5 linked regions of the Sus scrofa genome follow. The protein of the gene in region 3 interacts with the protein of the main gene of each other region in a pairwise test. Links are inferred from orthologs where the notes say so. Each region holds a gene or a part of one and is shown on either strand. Other genes may lie near its edges.

Evidence for each region.
Region 1: the proteins of MAD1L1 (region 3) and BAG5 interact in binary tests that used the Homo sapiens proteins (3 or more experiments, as listed by UniProt). The two-hybrid records come from large-scale screens. The link is inferred for Sus scrofa from reciprocal best matches to the Homo sapiens genes MAD1L1 and BAG5.
Region 2: the proteins of MAD1L1 (region 3) and USP15 interact in binary tests that used the Homo sapiens proteins (3 or more experiments, as listed by UniProt). The two-hybrid records come from large-scale screens. The link is inferred for Sus scrofa from reciprocal best matches to the Homo sapiens genes MAD1L1 and USP15.
Region 4: the proteins of MAD1L1 (region 3) and TEX11 interact in a two-hybrid assay, tested with the Homo sapiens proteins (2 studies listed by BioGRID and IntAct). The two-hybrid records come from large-scale screens. The link is inferred for Sus scrofa from reciprocal best matches to the Homo sapiens genes MAD1L1 and TEX11.
Region 5: the proteins of MAD1L1 (region 3) and RNF8 interact in binary tests that used the Homo sapiens proteins (3 or more experiments, as listed by UniProt). The two-hybrid records come from large-scale screens. The link is inferred for Sus scrofa from reciprocal best matches to the Homo sapiens genes MAD1L1 and RNF8.

Annotation. Positions count from the first base shown.
Region 1 is NW_018084979.1:2,107,327-2,111,626, reverse strand, and holds the start of BAG5 (BAG family molecular chaperone regulator 5), read left to right. Parts: upstream 1-1,490; 5' UTR 1,491-1,808; intron 1,809-1,826; exon of another isoform or gene 1,827-2,300; intron 2,301-3,281; 5' UTR 3,282-3,309; coding exon 3,310-4,300. Other genes in the region: APOPT1 (apoptogenic protein 1, mitochondrial), read right to left, coding at 1,300-1,422. UniProt on the Homo sapiens protein: Co-chaperone for HSP/HSP70 proteins. It functions as a nucleotide-exchange factor promoting the release of ADP from HSP70, thereby activating HSP70-mediated protein refolding.
Region 2 is NC_010447.5:27,079,502-27,083,050, reverse strand, and holds the end of USP15 (ubiquitin carboxyl-terminal hydrolase 15), read right to left. Parts: intron 2,471-3,549; coding exon 2,288-2,470; 3' UTR 502-2,287; downstream 1-501. UniProt on the Homo sapiens protein: Hydrolase that removes conjugated ubiquitin from target proteins and regulates various pathways such as the TGF-beta receptor signaling, NF-kappa-B and RNF41/NRDP1-PRKN pathways.
Region 3 is NC_010445.4:1,556,539-1,560,844, forward strand, and holds the start of MAD1L1 (mitotic spindle assembly checkpoint protein MAD1), read right to left. Parts: upstream 2,809-4,306; 5' UTR 2,433-2,808; intron 166-2,432; 5' UTR 154-165; coding exon 4-153; intron 1-3. UniProt on the Homo sapiens protein: Component of the spindle-assembly checkpoint that prevents the onset of anaphase until all chromosomes are properly aligned at the metaphase plate.
Region 4 is NC_010461.5:56,589,596-56,593,108, reverse strand, and holds part of TEX11 (testis-expressed protein 11), read left to right. Parts: intron 1-257; coding exon 258-366; intron 367-1,299; coding exon 1,300-1,420; intron 1,421-3,513. UniProt on the Homo sapiens protein: Regulator of crossing-over during meiosis. Involved in initiation and/or maintenance of chromosome synapsis and formation of crossovers.
Region 5 is NC_010449.5:32,938,311-32,941,823, reverse strand, and holds part of RNF8 (E3 ubiquitin-protein ligase RNF8), read right to left. Parts: intron 1,283-3,513; coding exon 1,154-1,282; intron 1-1,153. UniProt on the Homo sapiens protein: E3 ubiquitin-protein ligase that plays a key role in DNA damage signaling via 2 distinct roles: by mediating the 'Lys-63'-linked ubiquitination of histones H2A and H2AX and promoting the recruitment of DNA repair proteins at double-strand breaks (DSBs) sites, and by catalyzing 'Lys-48'-linked ubiquitination to remove target proteins from DNA damage sites.

The sequences.
Region 1 (4,300 bases), on a different chromosome or scaffold from region 3:
CCACTCCTGGGGCACATGGAGGTTCCCAGGCCCGGAGTCGAATTGGAGCTGTAGCTGCCGGCCTATGCCAGAGCCACAGCAACTCGGAACCGGAACCTGAGCCACGTCTGCAACCTACACCACAGCTCACGGCAACACAGGATCCTTAACCCACTGAGCAAGGGCAGGGATGGAACCTGCAATCTCATGGTTCCTAGTCGGATTCTTTAACCACTGAGCCACCATGGGAACTCCATCGTTTAAACATTTTATCTGCAGCCCATTCCACACCCTTGGTCCACATTTTCATGTGACTGTTGGTATCAAAGTTTAGGACTCCCTTAAACAAAACGTCATTCCCCAAAGCAGTGCAATTTATAAAAACTGCTACAGATATTAATCGTTATGGCTCTTCAGTCACAGATATACATATATGCACACGGTTTCCAAACCAAATGAACAAAAACATTCAACGTGAAGTCCTACAAAACAGTACGCCATCACTTGAAGAAAAGCGTTACTAATCATAAAGACGACACACACACGTGCTGCGCATGTCAAGAGCTCTTTACATGTAAAAGCCAGTTATCCTCGACAGAAAGACGGTACGTATAAACTTTTTTTTTTTTGTCTTTTCTAGGGCCGCACCCGCAGCACATGGAGGTTCCCAGGCTAGGGGTTTAATCGGGGCTGTAGCCACCAGCCTACGCCAGAGCCACAGCCACGCGGGATCCGAGCGGCATCTGCGACCTACACCACAGCTCATGGCAACGCCGGATCCTTAACCCACTGAGCAAGGCCAGGGATCGAACCCGCCACCTCTTGGTTCCCCGTCGGATTCGTTAACCACTGCGCCACGACGGGAACTCCCCGGTACGTATAAACTTGCTGGCCGGCTATGCTATTCTTTTATTCATTTATTTATTTTTTTACTTTTATTTTCTTTCCGCTGTACAGCATGGGGACCAAATTACTCTTACATGTATACATTTTTTCCCCCACCCTTTGTTCTGTTGCACGGCTATGCTATTCTTAAAGTTCTTTCAACAGCCCCGGGACGGCGGCGGCACCCTCAGTCCCACCTCCACAAGGGGATTGACGCAGGAAACTGGGGGGCTCCAGGGCTTCCCCGCGCTCCACTCGCCTGTCCCGCAAAGCCCGTGCCGGCTCCGGGTCCCCACGCCGGGGGGCTCAGCCGACACCGCAAGTGGCGCGTCGCAGGTGTGAGGGTCCCACAGGGGTCCCTGAGGGGTGCGGCCCGGGTCTGCCGCCCCTTGCGGTCACTCCTCCCGGCCCAACTTTTCCGGGAACCCCACTTACGCGGCTGGGCGCTGCATCCCTGCGCTCAGCGCTGCGCTCGGGGGCGAGCTGACAGCCACGGCCTGAAAAGGCGCGGCGGAGAGGAAGGAGGACCGTCTTGCTTCCGGGCCGCCAGGGCGCCATGGTCGCCGTCCGTCGGCCCGCGCGGCGCACGGCGGAGTCGCGACGGCGCTAGGGGCTGCCTTACGGCACGGTCGCAAAGCCCGAGGACGGGGACAGCGCGGCCGATCGTGCTCTTTCCCCGCGTGTGACCGGCTGCGAGGACGGCCGTCGGCTCGGGCGCGGCCGGGTGGCCGCCTGCTCCTGGGGCTCAGCCGTTCCAGGCTGACTCGCCAGACGGCCAGCGGCGGGCTTGGTCAGGGTCGGGGTGGGCGCGGAAGCCGGAAGACCTTTTCCCAGGGCGAGGGGCTGTTCGGCCCGGGGGCGGAGCTGCCGGGCCCAGGCGACGGCGGGAGCTGCGGCGGCGCGGGGCGTCGGCGGCGGAGTGCGCGATGGCGCGGGCGGCGCAGGTGAGCGAGAACCAGGCGGCGGCAGCCTTCCCTCGGCGCGGGCAGCAGGCGGGCGACCCCCGACTCGGCGCCCTTCCCCGTTGTGGCCGGGCCGGAGTGGGCGCCGCCCCAGCCCTGGGTCCGACGCGGGCCGGCCCTGGTTTCCGAGCCGGGCTCCCCGCAGCCGGCCCGGCCCGAGCCCCCTCCCTCCTCGCCGGCTCCCAGGCCCGGCCGAGCGCGGCCGCCCCCTCCCCCGAGGGCCATTGTGAGGTCAGGGCGGGCGGGTGCGTCGTGGGGTCCGGGCGAGACGCCCGGAGCGGCCGCTGCGGCCAGTAGCTGCCGCTGCCACTGCCGGCCCCTTCACCGGCTGCCCCGTTCAGATCTAGCCGGGAGGGGTGAGAGGGATGCAGCTGGGGGCCCAGCTCCGGAGCCGCACCCCGTAAAGGGCTGATCTTCCATCTCGCCACTTCACCCACGGGAAGCCAAGACCAAACCAGCTTAGACCTCTTCTGGGTAAAGTGCTGGGAGGGAAGGGCGGGCAGGGAAGGGAAGAATCGAGGCCGCCTGCTCTCCCTGGGCCTCCAGAGGCGTGTTCTCGGCTCGGACACCCAGAAGGGATTGGTTTCACTTGAGTACCCGGCCCCCTCCAAAGAGCTGATCGATAGAAACCCAGGAGCATGAAAAAAGTGCGTTGAGCCATTCTGGATTCCTAATGTGAGGCTAGTGAATGGATTGCTCAGAGTTGTCACATGCTTGTGCGATGTATTTCGGAGAAGGGGCAGGAGCATGATGGGGCCTGGGGAGGTACTAGGCCTCCAGAGCCCAGGGTGGTGCTTTGACAGTCCCAGTCGCCTTTCCCGTGGAGCCCTATGCCACTGTAGAGGAGATGTTAGAAGGGCTCAAAGGATGGAGAGGACGGTAGAAGCGGGGACTTGGGCGGTGTCTGCGAACCACTGGTGTTTGTTTCAGTGGCTCGGTTCCTTTTGTTTACTTTTTCCGGAAATTAGTCATAGCTCTTTGTAATGGGGTGAGAGGAGGGCCCTGCTTAGACGTACTGACCTGGAAGGTTAGCAGAGCTACCACAAAGGTGCCCTGCCGCGCCAAAAAAAACAGCTTCCAGTTTTAAGACCTCAGATACCTGCACCTTTTCCAAAATGTTCAGCTTCATGCCATACTTATGATGGCATATGTTGTTTGTTCTCTCTTACAACTGAGGAAACTTGAAGTTCACAGGCCCAGAGCTCCGGCTCCTATTTCCACTCGGCAGTAGCCCTGGTCTCAACCTCGGTGCAGCTGTTTAGCTGTTTTCATGAGAGGGAATTGATGAGTCGCTCTGATTTCTGTGCTTGGATTTCTTCTCCTTTGGACTGCAGTAGCCAGCCTTTTTTTTCGAGCCTGTCTTTTTAGAATGAGAACTGTAGAATGAATTGAATATGTGATTACCATGCTGCAGGCTTTGTAGTGTAATGAGTTATCGTTTTTGCCATCTTTTAGTGCTTGTGAAACTGAACACAACCAAAGTATGGCGATGGGAAACCAGCATCCTTCTATAAGTCGGCTCCAGGAGATCCAAAAGGAGGTAAAAAGCATAGAACAGCAAGTAACTGCTTTCAGTGGCCTGTCAGACGACAAGACGTACAAGAAACTGGAGAGGATTCTAACGAAACAACTCTTTGAAATAGACTCTGTAGATACGGAAGGCAAGGGAGATATTCAGCAAGCGCGGAAGAGGGCGGCCCAGGAGACGGAGCGTCTTCTCAAAGAGCTGGAGCAGAATGCAAACCACCCCCACCGGCTCGAGATCCAGCACATTTTCCAAGAAGCACAGTCCCTGGTGAAAGAGAAGATCGTGCCCTTTCACAGCGGCGGCAGCTGTGTGACGGAGGAGTTTGAAGAGGGCATCCAGGACGTCATCCTGCGGCTGACGCGCGTCAAGACGGGCGGCCGGACCTCCTTGCGGAAGGCGCGGTATCACACCCTAACCAAGGTCTGCGCCGTGCAGGAGATCATCGAGGACTGCGGGAGAAAGCCGCCCTCGCTGCCGCTCTCCGCCGACGCGCACCCCTCGGTGGCCAAGATCAACTCCGTGATGTGTGACGTGAACCGGGCCCGAGGCACGCTGATCGCCCTCCTGATGGGCGTGAGCAGTGACGAGACCTGCAGGCACCTGTCGTGTGTGCTCTCGGGGCTGATGGCGGATCTGGACGCTTTGGATGTGTGCGGGCACACGGAAATCAGGAACTATCGGAAGGAGGTGGTGGAGGATATCAACAAGCTGCTGAAGTACTTGGACTTGGAGGAGGAGGCAGATACCACTTACGCCTTCGACCTGGGCCAGAACCACTCCATTCTAAAGATAGAGAAGGTCCTCACGCGAGTGAGAGAAATAAAAAACGAGCTCCTCCGAGCCCAGAATCCCGCCGAGCTGTACCTGAGCTCCAAAACGGAACTGCAGGGCTTGATCGGTCAGCTGGACGAGGTCAGTCTTGAGAAGAACCCCTGCATCCGGGAAG
Region 2 (3,549 bases), on a different chromosome or scaffold from region 3:
AGTTTATTTTTTGCAGCTGATAACGCCATTTGAGTTTGACGAATTCAATGGTAATATTAACATCATTTTCCTTTTAAAATACACTTCTTTTAGCGGGAACAGAAGTTAATCACAGGAGTTAAAAAGGAATGGTCTCTACGGACAATCAAGGTAGAGACTATAATCTAGAGCTATAGTTTTGTTTTTGCTTTAAATCTCAGTAAAAGGGAAACAGTCTTTTAGTTGGTAGGTAGCAGAAAAATTGCAAGCTCTCTTGAGTGTAGGGATATTTGTTTACTGCTGAATCTCAAGATCCTACAACAGTGATTAACAGGTATATAAACAAATTAATAAATAAATTTAAAAAGTGAACTTAAAAACATGTCCATAACAAGATTCACTTTGATCTGACATGCTTTTCTATTTTTAACTATATGATAACTAAAAAGTCTAGCATATAATCACCTACCCCAAATAGGGGATTTTTATTAAAAGATTCAGAGTAAGAAATAAAAGACTAAATAAGGCCTTGAATAGCTTTATTGAAATCTGTATAAATAAACATGCACATTTCAAATGTAAACTCAAGTGAACTCAAGTGCAGACAAAATTTTAACCTCTGTCATGCAGGAGGTTAGTTTACATTAAAAAAGAAAAAAAAAAAAAAGAAAAAAGAAAAAAAGAAAAAAAAAAAAAAAGGAAAAACCCAAAGCAGCTTTAAAAATACCAGGATGAAAAACCAGCTTTAATATCAAGGTATAAAGCAAAGCCATGATCAACATACCTCATTTATCCTGGTCAAATGCATTTTTCTTTTACTTTTAAATGCTAACATAAATAAATAATTTACCAAAATGTGCACTCACAGAGTGAACTTTTATTTACAATACACAATTTATAATCTATTGTATTTGATTAGTTCAAGTGAAGAACATCATACTTTTTGCTTTAGTAAGAGTGGGACACAAAGCAATTGCTCAGGTAGTCGATATGTGAAATGTGCCCCAGCATTTAGAGTTTCTATTAAAGGCAGTATTGTATGCCAATTGACAATACATTCTTTCAACTAGATCAAAGGGAAAAAGCAGCAAATGAAAAATGTTTCCAATGTTCACACATATTTTTGGCATCCTGGATCCTTGAATGTGGTGAAGGAAAGTAAAATTCAAGATTTGTATGCTTTATATACTGTACAGGTTCTGACTCTGGAACATGCAAATGCCAATTCTCTTGTAACAAGTTACCTTCTGAGAAAAGCTGTAAGGCTATGGTGAATTCCATCAGGAACACACAGAGAAAGTTAACAGACCTACCTTTAAAGCCAATTGTCTATTAATGATTTAAAGGCCAGTAGATGAAAAAAATTTCTCATCAAAGCTTGATGTAATTATTACTATGGATACAGAATACTATTTTTGTCTTTATATTACATATTTAGGAGAGCTAAAAGTTGCCAAATTACCAAAAAATGGGGTAGAGAAAAACAGACAGCAAAAATTTTAATTTTGGACCAATACCAGATTAAAGATATGCATTTTAAAGTAAGTTAAAAATAATCTGAATGTCTAAGGAACAGATCCCAATAGCAGTAAAAATACTTACATGTAACTGAAAAGTGACTTTAGATGAAATGTGAAATCTAGAACCTGTTTTCCACAGTAGCAGTTAAGAGGAACATAATATTCTGGATTTTTAAAAAATGATACTATAAAGGGAAGTAACTTTTTCAAGACTGTTTCCTGTATCATGATTTCATTTTATAATAGGCCCACACTGATTACCAGGTAAAGATTTGAAAATTTGGTTTTCCAAAACTACTACTGCAGTATTTATGCCACATTGATACTGCAGCTAAATATCATAGTAGTGTATGTGGCAGCCTAATGCACATGAACTAGATTATCCAAAAACTAAGTTCAGCCATAGTTTTCTTGCAGTATTATTAGAGCAAAATAAATGACCAACATCCACAAATTTAACATTTGTCATCAATTAACTCACATCCAAAAAATTAAAGAAAACATAATTCATCAAAACAGCAGCAAACTTAAAAGGGATTTATTTGTGATTTCCTATATATATTTAGCTTGTAAATACAAGACTGTAAATGTATTAAGAGACAATTTCTGTTAAAGTTTTCATTGTATTTCACTTCAAGTACTGCACAAGTTAAAATCTGATAAAGGATTTACATTCGGTTATCTGAAACTCCCCATCTCAGACTTTGTTTAATGTGGTGGGTGACTTCATCATTTCAATAGATACCACCAGCAGGAAAGTCTCTCTTTTATGGCTTCTAGGACTTTCATTAGTTAGTGTGCATACAGTTTTCATTTTCTATATCATTGTCATTATCATTGCTATCTTCATCACTTTCTAATGGGATGCCTGTGGCAGCTGAAGCACCTTTAGTTTCTCGGTCAAGAGGGAAAAAGCCAGTTCCACTGAAAGTGTCTTGTCTCTGGTAGAAGAGTACGTATGCTGCTTTGGACTGTTAAACAAAGAATGTTAAAATGGTTATGATTCTTAAAGATAACATTAAATACAGGATGAATTTTTAGCTGGTAAGTGATTTTTGTGACAAGGCATAAATCATAAAAAAAAACCACACCTGGTCAACTGAAGGTTACTAAAACTGATTAAATATAAGATCACTTCTATATAGAAGGAAGAATGGTCACTGGATTTACCATTCTTATTTTAAGTTAGCTGGACAGACAAAGGCAACTATATCGCTAATTAACCTAGTTACTCTAACATGAAATAGAATTCTATGCCCTCTTTTCTCCTATCTCTGAGGAAACAGTTAAGTTTCTTTCTAACACTAATAACTTCATTTTATATTTGCTCTAGATCCTAACTTTTCTTACTGTGTTAAGGATAACTGTGCCATCAATCATCACTGTGTATGTTTAATGAGTCCTTAGCTAGTGGACTTCTGAGCACAAATAATACTTAAAAGTCTTTTCCCATCACAAATCCCTCTCCTTTCTACCTCTTCCTCTAGCTGCTATATACCCCCCTTCCTCTTTCTCACAGCCAGGCTGGGAGACTAAGATTCATTCAGTCTCATGCACATCCTCAATTCAATGTGAACTAACTGTTGCTGCAACCATTCCAACGAAATGACTTTCACTAGGCTCAAAAACATCCTAAAAGCAAATTAAATGGACACTTTTAGTTCTTTTAGCCAATTTTTCTGTAGCATTTAATGCTTTAGTGCTCCTTTTTGCTGCACTGAAGTATTTTTGGCTTCTGTTACACCACTTTTCCTTAGATCTTCCATCTCTATAGTTTCTTCTGACTTTTCTGTAGGCACATTAAATTTTGACCTTAAAAAAAAAAAATCATGTTTTGTGGGCTCTTCCTCAATTTGTATCTTCCCCTGGGGGAATCATTCAGATCTATGGTTTGAATGATTCACCTATGTTACTTAAGAAAGACAATTCAAATTTATAACTTAAACCAGGTCTCGTCCCTGAACTCTAGTCCTATTAGTCCAACCACCTAGTGAAAACTTCCACATGGTTATTACATACAGGTATCTCAAACTTTGCAGCAAATTTTCTT
Region 3 (4,306 bases):
CACCTGCATGCTCTGCTGGTACTGCATCTGCAGAGAACCTTGCGCAGGGGTGGACACGTCCAGTCCAGACCCTCCCTCCACTCGCTGAGAGATGAAGCTGTTCAAGGACCTCAGGGTGGAGAGGACGGTGGTGTTTTCGCCCAGGTCTTCCATGGCCACCTCCCTCTGGAGGAAAACAAGGGACGGGTCACGGGGAGCCTTTCCACGCACCATCGGCTCTGGCAGCTGCCCAGTCAGGGGCGCCTTCAGGGAGCCCCACACCCTGATGCGCTCTCAGAGCCCTTAACACATTCCAGGGTCCGTGAGCACCGTCTTCCAGGTTAAGGGGGAGTACATGCTGCCAATTTCTCAGAGAAGAACGGAGGCATAAAAAGACAACGTGCCAGCAAGCTGCTGACCGGCAGAGCGCTGACGAGCACACCAGCTGGAAAGACAGACGGCCCTCAGGACAGGGTGTCCAGCCGTCAGGGTGTCCAGCTGGGCACCTCCCAGATGAGCACTGACAGAAAGCCTAGCTTCTGGGAATGAGAAGCAAAGAACACAGGAGTCCCTGCTGTGGCTCAGACGTAACAAACCCGACTAGAATCCACGAGGACACAGGTTCAACCTCGGCCTCGCTCAGTGAATTAAGGATCCAGCACTGCCATGAGCAACAGTGTAGGTCACAGCTGCAGCTTGGATCCTGCGTTGCTGTGGCTGTGCTGTGGGCCGGAGCTGCAGCTCCGACGAGACCCCTCACCTGGGAACCTCCATATGCTGCGGGAGCGGCCCTGCAAAGACAAAAAATAAAAAGCACACGACAGTGGCAATCAGGAGGGCACCCCCGCAATGCTAATTACAGGTTAGCAATGACATTAATGGGTGTCTCGACCACCTTCAGCCACCCGACTAATGCCCACGAGGATGCAGGTTCAAGCCCCAGCCTTGATCAGGGCGGGGTTAAGGATCCAGAGTTGCCGTGTGCTGTGGTGTAGGTTAAAGAAGGGGCTCGGATCTGGCGTTGCTGTGGCTGTGGCGTAGGCTGGCAGCTGCGGCTCTGATTCGGCCTCCAGCCCGGGAACATCCATATGCCTCTGCCACAGGGGTGGCCCTAAAAAGAACAAATAAATGGTTACAGAACTGAGATTGGACCCTGGTCTGTCTGGCTCTAAGGCTGAGTGTACTCCCCAGGCCAGTGTATGAAGGTCTGAGGACAAGCAGCAGCAAAGAACCTGCGCCCCCAAATCTGTGCTTATTATGGCCTCACACCACGCTGTCTACCAGCCGGAAGGTGTGGCAGTGTCCCAGGCACAGCGAAGCACCAAGAGGTGTGAATTCCTACAGGTGCATCGTCTTCAGGAAAAGAGCCAGCTCTCACTGATTTCCCTTAAGTATGAGACGGAACGCACCTTCCCCCAGCTGGAGCCCCCTTCCCCCCGAAAAAGAAGACCTGGTTTGCTCCTGAATTTCCCGTTTAAGGAGAACCCTGGCCTTGTGCACCCAGAGCCTGTCTTCCGGAGGCCGTGGTTTCCACGCCCGGCACAACTCGGCTGTCCTCACCACTCTCCTTCAAACCACAAGTGGAAGATGGGTGGGACGAGAAACCAGCGAGGGGCGCTCACGGAGCTGCGCGCCTGGCGAGCGATGCAGGCCCGCGCAGCGAGGCACGGGGCTCTGCTCTGGAAGGCCAGTCCTCCATCTGCCAAGATTAGACCACTCTTCCCCTCCCGTGATGGTAAATCTGGCCAACACGCCCCCTTCTCACACCCGATGCCCGCAATACCCCAGCAGGAAGAGAACGTACCCGCTTTCACCTGCCCCGAACTCCGCTGCCCCACGAGGCGGCAGCTCAAATTCCACCCTCTTTATCCAAGCGACCCAAACCTTCCAGCGCCCTCACCACGGACTCGGAGCTCAGAGTCCCGGGCACCCTGCCTCTCTCCCGCCCTGCTGGCCCAAGGACAGACATTACAGGGCTCCCCACCGCCCAGCGGCCCTTCACACCGCCGCGGGCGCTCTCGCCGGCCGGCCGGCCAGTTCTCCACCTGCTGCCGGGCGCCTTCGCCAAACTTCCACCACCGACGAAACGCACGCGAGCGCGCCTCCCACGGGCCGCCGGCAGTGGGACCCTGGGCAGGGCGCTTGCCCCTTCCCACCGTTTCCCTGGCTGTCAAAGGCAGTAGCGGCAAGTCCCACGCCGCCCGGCGAGGACGCGCGGGAAGCGGGGAGAGCGCCGCCGGCCCCCGAGCCTCGGCGGGTGAGGGACCCGCTGCCGCGAGGCCGCCCCCTCGGCGCTCGAGACCCCGACCATTCCCAGCGGCCCTTCTCGGAGGAGGCGCGCTGGGGACGCCCGCCCGCCCAGCCTCGGAAGGACCCCAGCCTCGCCCCCGCCCGCCCCGCGCCGGCTCAGCCTGGCGCAGCGCGGCGCCCGCCGGGGCACCCCGGCCGCTCACCTCACCGCCTCAGCCCACCGGGCGCCGCCGCTGCTGCTGCTGCCGCCGCCGCTCAGATCTCCCTCTTCTACGCCCGCGCCCACGTATCGCGAGACGTGCGGCTGCGCTCTCGCGAGACCTGGGCGGGACCAGCCGTGAGCTCCGGATCTGCGCGCCTGCAGGTCACGGGGACTCCGCGTCCGTCCCCGGAGCTACCTACTCCCGGCAGAGGCCGCAAAGAGGGGACTCGGAACCAAAGCCGGCCCGCCCGCGGGACTCTCGTGGTGCCCCCACCTCCAGCGTGTCGGCTTCCACTTGGCGGCTGCCTTGCGCCGTATTGTGTGGAATAGCACCGTCCAACGGTGGCCTCTTAGAGCCAAACTTCCCTGCACTCCCTTTCCCCGGTTTTACCACTACGGTATTTGCTTGAGTTAATGCGTTTTAACTTTTCACAAGGCCCTCTGAAAAAAGGCCAAATGCTATTCTACTAAGCTGTCCTCACAAAAGGCTGCGCTTCTAAGCTGGAGCCGTCGGGGCGCGGGGACCTCGTCTGGGTCTCAGTTCTCCAGGGAGCAGTGGTCAGCCTGTCCCTCCTCGAATTACGGCCACCTGGGTCCAGCAGCGTGCCTCCCGCGCCAGCTAGGCGCCCGAGGGCCTGCACCGAATTCCCTTCTTCCAGAGAATAAAAGACACGTTAGTGTGGCCAGAACGAACTGGATGGGAAAGCGGAGAATGTGATAGTGAAGGCAGGACGGAGGGCTCTCCGGTCTTAACTGGCCGACTGCAAACGAAAACAAAACGAAAAATTTGAGTCTGGCCAGCAGCATCCTTCAGGGATCTGGACTCAGCCCTAGGACCCTGATGGAGATTCCTGGCTACCTCTCCCCTCCCCAAGCAGTCTTGGGATTTAATCATCGCTACAGTCAATAAACTCTTTTGGGGGGGGGCTTTTTTAGGGCCCCACCAGCAGCATATGGAAGTCCCCAGGCTACGAGTCGAATAGGAGCTACAGCAGCTGGCCTAGGCCACAGCCACGCCATTGCGGGATCTGAGCCGCATCTGTGACCTACACCACAGCTCAGGGCAACGCCGGATCCCCCACCCAGATTCGAACTCGAATCCTCAAGGGTACTAGTCGGATTCCTTTCCGCTGTACCACAGGACTCCCATCAATATACTCTTTTTAAAAAACTTTAATAAATAAATAAATAACTTTTATCACTCAATGAATTTTATTATAGTTGTACGATTATCACAACCCAATTTTATAGCATTTCCAGGAACTGGTTTTGAGGAAACCAATCAATTTAAAAAAAAACAAAAAACAAAAACTTAAAAACACAGACATTCATTCCTCTTACGGCCTATACGACCTTACAGAGTCGCATCACAACCCTGGACAGGGGCACGGAGGTAAGGGAACACACCATGTCGCTGCTTGCTTTGGCAACGACCTTTAAGTCTTTGGAGCCTGGAATATTACAGCAACATTTTCCAGTGAAAAAGCAAAGCACAGCCACCCCATGCATAATTCACACCAAATGTCTTCTCTGATTGTCCTGGGAACTCGTCACTGCTTCAAGAATGGATGTATTTCCAGATCATTCACCCGAGAGATGGGAAAAAATCCCCAGACTGAAGTTTCACATTTGTCCACATTACGCTGGGTAGCCAAAATACCACCTGGAAACTGCGGGCTGTTCTTGGAGGGAGGATGGAAGCCTGTTTCTCCGTAACACGCTCAGTCACAGCAGGAGAGGAGAACGTTATGTAAAGGTGTCTGTGTGTGTTTCTCTGCCTCCCACTGTTTCTGTCCTCCCCCCAGTAGGCCTTTTCATCTTTTTATCTTTGCCCCTCCCTTAGGAAAAAAGGTCCCCCATGTGTCCTTCCTGCTG
Region 4 (3,513 bases), on a different chromosome or scaffold from region 3:
GAAACAGTAGGTTCTCTGTTGATTTTTGCTGAAGAAGAGGTATAACCTGGTGATCCTACCATGTTACTCTGCCCAAAAAGGAGGAGTTATCTCTGAAAGCCATCACAGATACATCATTTTATAAAATTCATTTTTGGGTTTTTGTGTTTATTTTTGTTCATCTGTTTCAGGTCAGTTTCATTAGAGAAAGCAAGTTGTAGCCTGGGATGACAGCTATGATTATGGTGTTCACAATCTTTTTGCTTCCCTTCCTATAGCATTAGCGATGGAAATGCCTGCACATTATCCTTCTATTGCTCTAAAGGCCTTGAAAAAGGCTTTATTGCTCCACAAAAATAAAGAGTCCATTGATGTTTTGAAATACAGGTTAGTAAATATAATTCAACTTTGAATCTTAATTTCTGATAGCCAACAGTGCTATAGTCAATGTTCCATAAATCATCAATCATACTCACTGACTCAAAAGATGATTTAGGTACTCCTGTTAACTCCTAGACTAAAAAGCCCTCAGAACAGCCCCATATTTAGAGCTGTATTAGAGACCAAAGCAAAGTGAAGGAGTCTGGTTTTCCCAAAGGAGAAAAAGAGGGGGAAATTTGCTTCTTTGCATGTCTATGTATATAATGAAATTATTAATTAAGTACTTTCTTTCATTACTAAATATGCCAAGTGTACAGAAAAATAGAGATTAATATAATAAACAGCAGTGTATCCACCACTCAAATTTAACAGATATTAACATTTGCTATATTTGCCTCATATATTTTGTTCTAAGAACCCTCCTTTAAAGACCAATAAGTGCTGTACATAATATAAAACAGTATTTATTGGAGATTTTATGTTCTCTATGCCTAGACATGAGGGAAAAATAGATGTTGTGTGATTTTTCTCTGGAAAACTTCATTACAATCTTCCTTTTCTGAGACATGAGAGACAGTTCTCCTGGAATCATTCCCAATTTAAATCCCAATTCCCTTCCCCCATTTGAGGATGTAACAAGATGCTTTAAAGTGCCTGTAGATTAAACCAGCTCATAAAATGTAGTAAACAGACACAACTCAGTGCAAGAAGCTAAAAAAAAAAGTGAAAGACAACCATAGACATAATAAAAGGAAGGATTGGTCAGCCCCTTTTATATCTTCAAAAAATCTGTCTTCTGAGCTTGGAAAATCAAATTGAAGGAAGAACAGAAGTGTTTTGAAGCTCTTAGTCTGGGATGAAATCCAGATCTTACTTATCTTAGCCATGAAGTCAATGATTTCTTTCCTATGGGATGAGTTTTCTCTTTTTGATTTTCAGCAAATGTATGCACAGCTTGCTTAACCTCTTAGTGCCAGATGGGACACTGAGTGCCGAGCTCTGTCCCCTGGAAGAAGTTTGGGGCTATTTTGAAGATGCTCTGAACCTTATTAGCCACACCGTAAGTCAAAAACTGATAATAAACTTTAAGCTAATTTTAAAAAACTGAATTGTCTTGTATATTAGAAATTAGAATAATGCCTTTTGATATGAGTTTTAGGGTAAATAAAGTCATATTCCAATGTGGTTATACATAATAAAATTTCCCTGGGTTCATGAAATGGAGTTAAAAGTAGAAAATTCCTAATACAAGTTAACTATGGATTAGGTTAAAATAGCAGTACCACCTGGCATTCTGAATTAGTTTGTATTTTCAAAACCTGGTAGAATTATTATTTCCCTGAGAAGATGATAATGACTCTTTGAAAAAGTTTATTGTTATTCCTGCCATTTCTGAGATAGGTAATAAAGAAGAAGAAACACTGAACACCTATATTTTAGTCCCTCTGCCAATTTTTTTCATTTTAGCACAGGTTCATTCAGTAATTTATTATTTACTTGTTTGTTTATTATTAAAGTATAGTTGATTTAGAATGTCGTGCCAATTTCTGCTGTACAGCATAGTGACCCAGCCATACATATATATACATTCTTTTTCTCATACTATCTTCCATCATGTTCTGTCCCAAGAGATTGAATATAGTTTCCTGTGCTGTATAGTAGGACCTCATTACTTATCCATTCTAAATGTAATAGTCTGCATCTACCAATCCCAAACTCCCCATCCATCCCACTCCCTCTTCCTTCCCCCTTAGCAACCACAAGTCTGTTCTCTATGTCTGTGATTCTGTTTCTGTTTTGTAGGTAGGTTCATTTGTGCCATATTTTAGGGTCTACACATAAGTGATATCATATGGTAACTGTCTTTCTCTGACTTACTTCACTTAGTATGAGAATGTCTAGTTGCATCCATGTTGTTGCAAATGCCATTATTTCATTCTTTTTATGGCTGGGTGGTATTCCATTGTATATGTGTACCACATCCTAGTCTTTTCATCTGTTGGTGGACATTTAGGTTGTTTCCTTCCATATTTTGGCTATTGTGAATAGTGCTAAAATGAACATAGGAGTGCATGTATATTTTTAAATTATAGGGTTTTTTTTTTTTTTTTGTCTTTTTGCTATTTCTTTGGGCCGCTCCCATGGCATATGGAGGTTACCAGGCTAGGAGTCCAATCGGAGCTGTAGCCACCGGCCTACGCCAGAGCCGCAGCAACGCGGGATCCGAGCCGCGTCTGCAACCTACACCACAGGTCACGGCAACGCCGGATGTTAACCCACTGAGCAAGGGCAGGGACCGAACCCACAACCTCATGGTTCCTAGTCGGATTCGTTAACCACTGCGCCACGACGGGAACTCCTAAGGTTTTTTTTGGATGTATGCAGCAGTGGAATTGCTGGATTGCTATTCAGTAATTTTTAAACTAGCTTTATTAAGATATAATTTACATACTATAAAATTTACCCATTGTATAATTCAATGATTTTTAGTAAATTTATAATTATACAACTATCTCCATAATCTGGTTTTATATTTCCATTACCCCCCCCAAAATTTTCTATTGCCCATTTTTTCAGTCAATCTCTGCTCCCATTTTCAGGCCCAGGGAACCACTGATCTGTTTTTTCTGTCTCTATAGATTTTTCTCTTTCTAGACACTTCATATAATGGGATCTTATAATATGTGACCTGTGGTGTCTAGTTTCTTTCAATTTAGCTTACTGTTTTTGAGATTCACCCATGCTTTAGCATGTATCAGTATTCCATTCCTTTCTATTGCTGAGTAAATAAAATGTTATTATATTCTATTGAATGGATATGTCACATTTTGTTTATTCACTCACTAGTTGGTAAACATTTAACTTGTTTCCACTTTAAAAAAAATCTATTGGAGTATAGTTGACTTACAATATTGTATTAGTTGACTTGTTACCACTATTACAAATAATGCTGCTATGAACATTTGTGTACAAGTCTTTGTTTTCAAAAGCTTGTTTTCAGTTCTCTTGAGTACATGAATTAATGGGTCATATGGTAGCTCTCTGTTTGAGGAACTGCAATCTGTTTTCCAAAGTTGCTGCACTATTTCACATTCCTACCAGCAGTGTCTGAGGGTTCTAATTTCTCCACATCCTCATCAACACTTGTTATTG
Region 5 (3,513 bases), on a different chromosome or scaffold from region 3:
GGATGTTCACCTGTATCCCTCACCTCACCATTTCCTTTTATAATTAACTGGTAAATGTAAATAAATGTGTTCCTGGCTGCGAATAACTAACTAATTAACTGAATCCAAAAAGGGAGGTGGCCATGGGAACCTCTGATTTACAGCCAGTCAGTCAGAAGTACAGGTAACAATCTGGACCTGCAAATGGCTCCTGGAGATCTAGGATGGGGTCCTTGGAACCTCCAACCTATAATAGGTTCACGTGTCAGAAGCACAGATGTTAACCTGGGCTTGTGAATGGCACCTGAGAGGAGAGTGGTTTTGTGGGATGGAGCCCTCTACCTGTGGAATCTGATGCTATCTCCGGGTAGACAGAAGAGGATTGAGTTGAATTGCAAGACATCCAGCTGGTGTATGCACTGCTTGTGGTATGTGGAGGGGAGATCTCCCCCCTCCCAACATCCATTGGAACTGATCTCAGAACCATCTTCATACACTTCCTTCTAATAGGTATCTTTATATGCCTTCCAACCAGAGTAGTGCAAAATGGTGTCTGAAGACATTTCACACTTCCTAATCCTTAATTGTTTATATTGGAATTTCTCTCATTTCACAGTGTCTATTTTCACTGCATTCCCAGGTGATTGTATATCTGTACTTTAGGGTCTTCCTAATTGCTCAGCTCTATACACTATTTCACCTGCCTTAGTATTCACACTAAACCTGTGGTTTTCAAATTTGTTTTAAGCGGAGAAAAAAAAAAAAGAAAAGAAAAAAAAAGAAAAGGAGCAGTAAGAGGACCCGAGTGAAATCAGCTCAGTTCCTCCCTCCTCCACAGGAGCACTCCAAAATCTCTGTCAGATTCCCAAGGTCTTTGGACCTTCAACTCACAAGAGACCAAGTCCCCTGGTAACTTAGTCTACTTTTTGGAACAGGACCTACTGCCCCAATTCAGGTGTTCCCTTCAAAGTAACTAACTTCAAGTCATTAGAACTTCTTTTGGCATAATCTAATCTCTGGCAGCACAGAGAAGCAGTCATTTCTGGGAAAGACAAGTCAGTAGCTAGGGGAGAAGATATATTTTTGAGTCTTTTAGTTCTCTACCACTGCAAAAAATAAAGGAACTTAAAAATAAACAAAAATTCAATAAACATTATTAGTCTTCTGCAGTTACCTTGTTGTCCGTAATTGTCCACTGGCCCTCGGCATTCTGCTTCAAGACACAGTGGTTTCGGGAAATCATCAGAGGGCAAATTTTTGAAACCAACTGGTATGTGACACCAAATCCTCGACCTACAGTCACCTAAGAAGACAACAACAACGTAGACACAATCAGCCATTGTGCTGAAGAGGGAGGTCATTACAATCTTGTCAACCAGCAGTGTCCACAAGTCTTGACTTAGGAAACCAGAGCAGAAAGGCAAGCAGCTCACTGGCTATCTCCTTCAGCTGCCATAGAAGCCAGTGGATAGAAAAAGGCAAAAAATGGACTTCCCGTGTGGCTCAGTGTTGCTTCTACAGTGGCTGTGGCTCGATCCCGGCTTAGGAACTTCCATATGCTGCAGGTGCGGCCACTTGTTTAAAAAAAGAAAGAAAGAAAAAGGCAAAAAGCTGTGACAAGAGACAGCTGAACGGAGTTAATCATGGGGTGTCAGGGTTGGTAGGACTCTGAAAGGTCACCTGCATCAACCACTCATGGGATGGAGGAATTCTCTCTACACACCCCATTAACTAGTTTTCTACACGGCCAAGAACTATAGCTATGATACAAGACAGTCCCGCCAACTTTTTAATGGCTCTGACTTGGAATCTTTCTCCCTATAATTTCCATCCACTGGCCCAAGCTCTGCCCTGGCCACAACCAGAAAATCTCCAGTTCCCCTTCACATGAGAGCTATAGTGCATCTGTGGAATCTTCCCTTTTCTTGGCCCTATGTTCCTATTACTTCGACATAACTCCATGTCATAGGTTTGAGTCTTCTTGCCATTTTAATAGGTCTGTGAAGAGATTTTTGGTGTTATTCCTAGATGTCATATCAAGAAAAACAAACTTGATTTTTTATTATATAGTCGAATACAAGTATCACTTTCCCAGTTCTAGATGTTATCAGTGGAGAATATAAATAACATTAGCTTTCACAGTAGATCTATCACACTGCCAGCATACCCTTAGGCTTAGGAATGATTAAATTTCTTGGACTAACCCTCCAAAGAATTCCTATGCTAAGTCATGTCTTTTCTGTCCTAGACTAACTGGCAAATGTGGATTCAAGTGCAGGACCTTACATTGATTCCTATTAAATGTCATCTTGTTAGTTTAGCCTATCATTAGCTTGTCAAGACCTTTCTGAATTTTTAATCTGCTATCAGACACACTCAATATCCATTCTGGCTTTAAGTCACCCACCAAATTGATATGATGCCTTCTGTACCTTCATTCAGGACACAGATTAAGAAGATTAAAACAGGTTGTAGCCAAAGGCAAAGCTCTTAGGAAAGCCTAGCAAATATTCTACCCTAAAAATACACACAAAAAAATTCAACAATTAAGGGAGTTCCCATGGTGGCTCAGTGATACTGAACCCAACTAGCATCCATGAGGATGCAAGTTCGACCCTTGGCCTTGCTCAGTGGGTTAAAGGATTCGGCATGGCCATGGTGTAGGTTGCAGATGCAGCTTGGATCCCACTTTGCTGTGGCTGAGGTGTAGGCCAGCAGCTACAGCTCAGATTTGACACCCTAGCCTGGGAACTTCCATATGCCACAGGTGCAACCCTAAAAATACACACACAAAAAAACCAACATTCTAACACACAATCTGGGTATACTTTCAACCAGTTATAATCCAATCAAAAGATGGAAAAGTCTGTATTTTCCATCTTACCCACAAGAACATCATGAGAGCCTTTGGAAAAGGTTGCAAAGACGACCCAATTCACATGCATCATACTTTGCTGACCGACCAATCTAGTTCATGACAACCCTGTCAAGGAAGGAAATGAAATTCTTCCGGGATCCAGCTTGCAGAATGCCCTGCTTATTCTTCTTGCTGCACAAGCCCCTCTTCAATGACCCATATCCAGACCTTACCTGGGAACACTAAGCCAAATGTCTGTAGTTTTCTAAAAGCTGCCCTTTTTGTTCCTCTTGAAAATCTTTCAGAATCATGCCTGTCCTCCTTAGTCTCTTAAAGACCACCATGAACGACTCGCTGCTCCAATCTATTCCTCCCCATAAACTCTCATCCCAGCAACTGACACCACCATCCAACCTACTGCTTAGCCCAAAACCCAGGAGCCATCTTTGATTTGCTCTCTGTCCCTCATGCCCACATTCAAATCATCAGCAAAATCTACTGGCTGTAGTTCAAATATGTCCTAAATCTATTCACTTCTCTCTCTCCTTCCCTCTCCCTCTCTCTCTCAGTGGCTCCTAGCTTAATCCAAACAACACTTCTTCCTCCAGTAGCACTATTTCTACTCCTGTGCTAGCCTCCATTCTTCACACAGTAGCTGGGGTGTAATGTAAAAACTA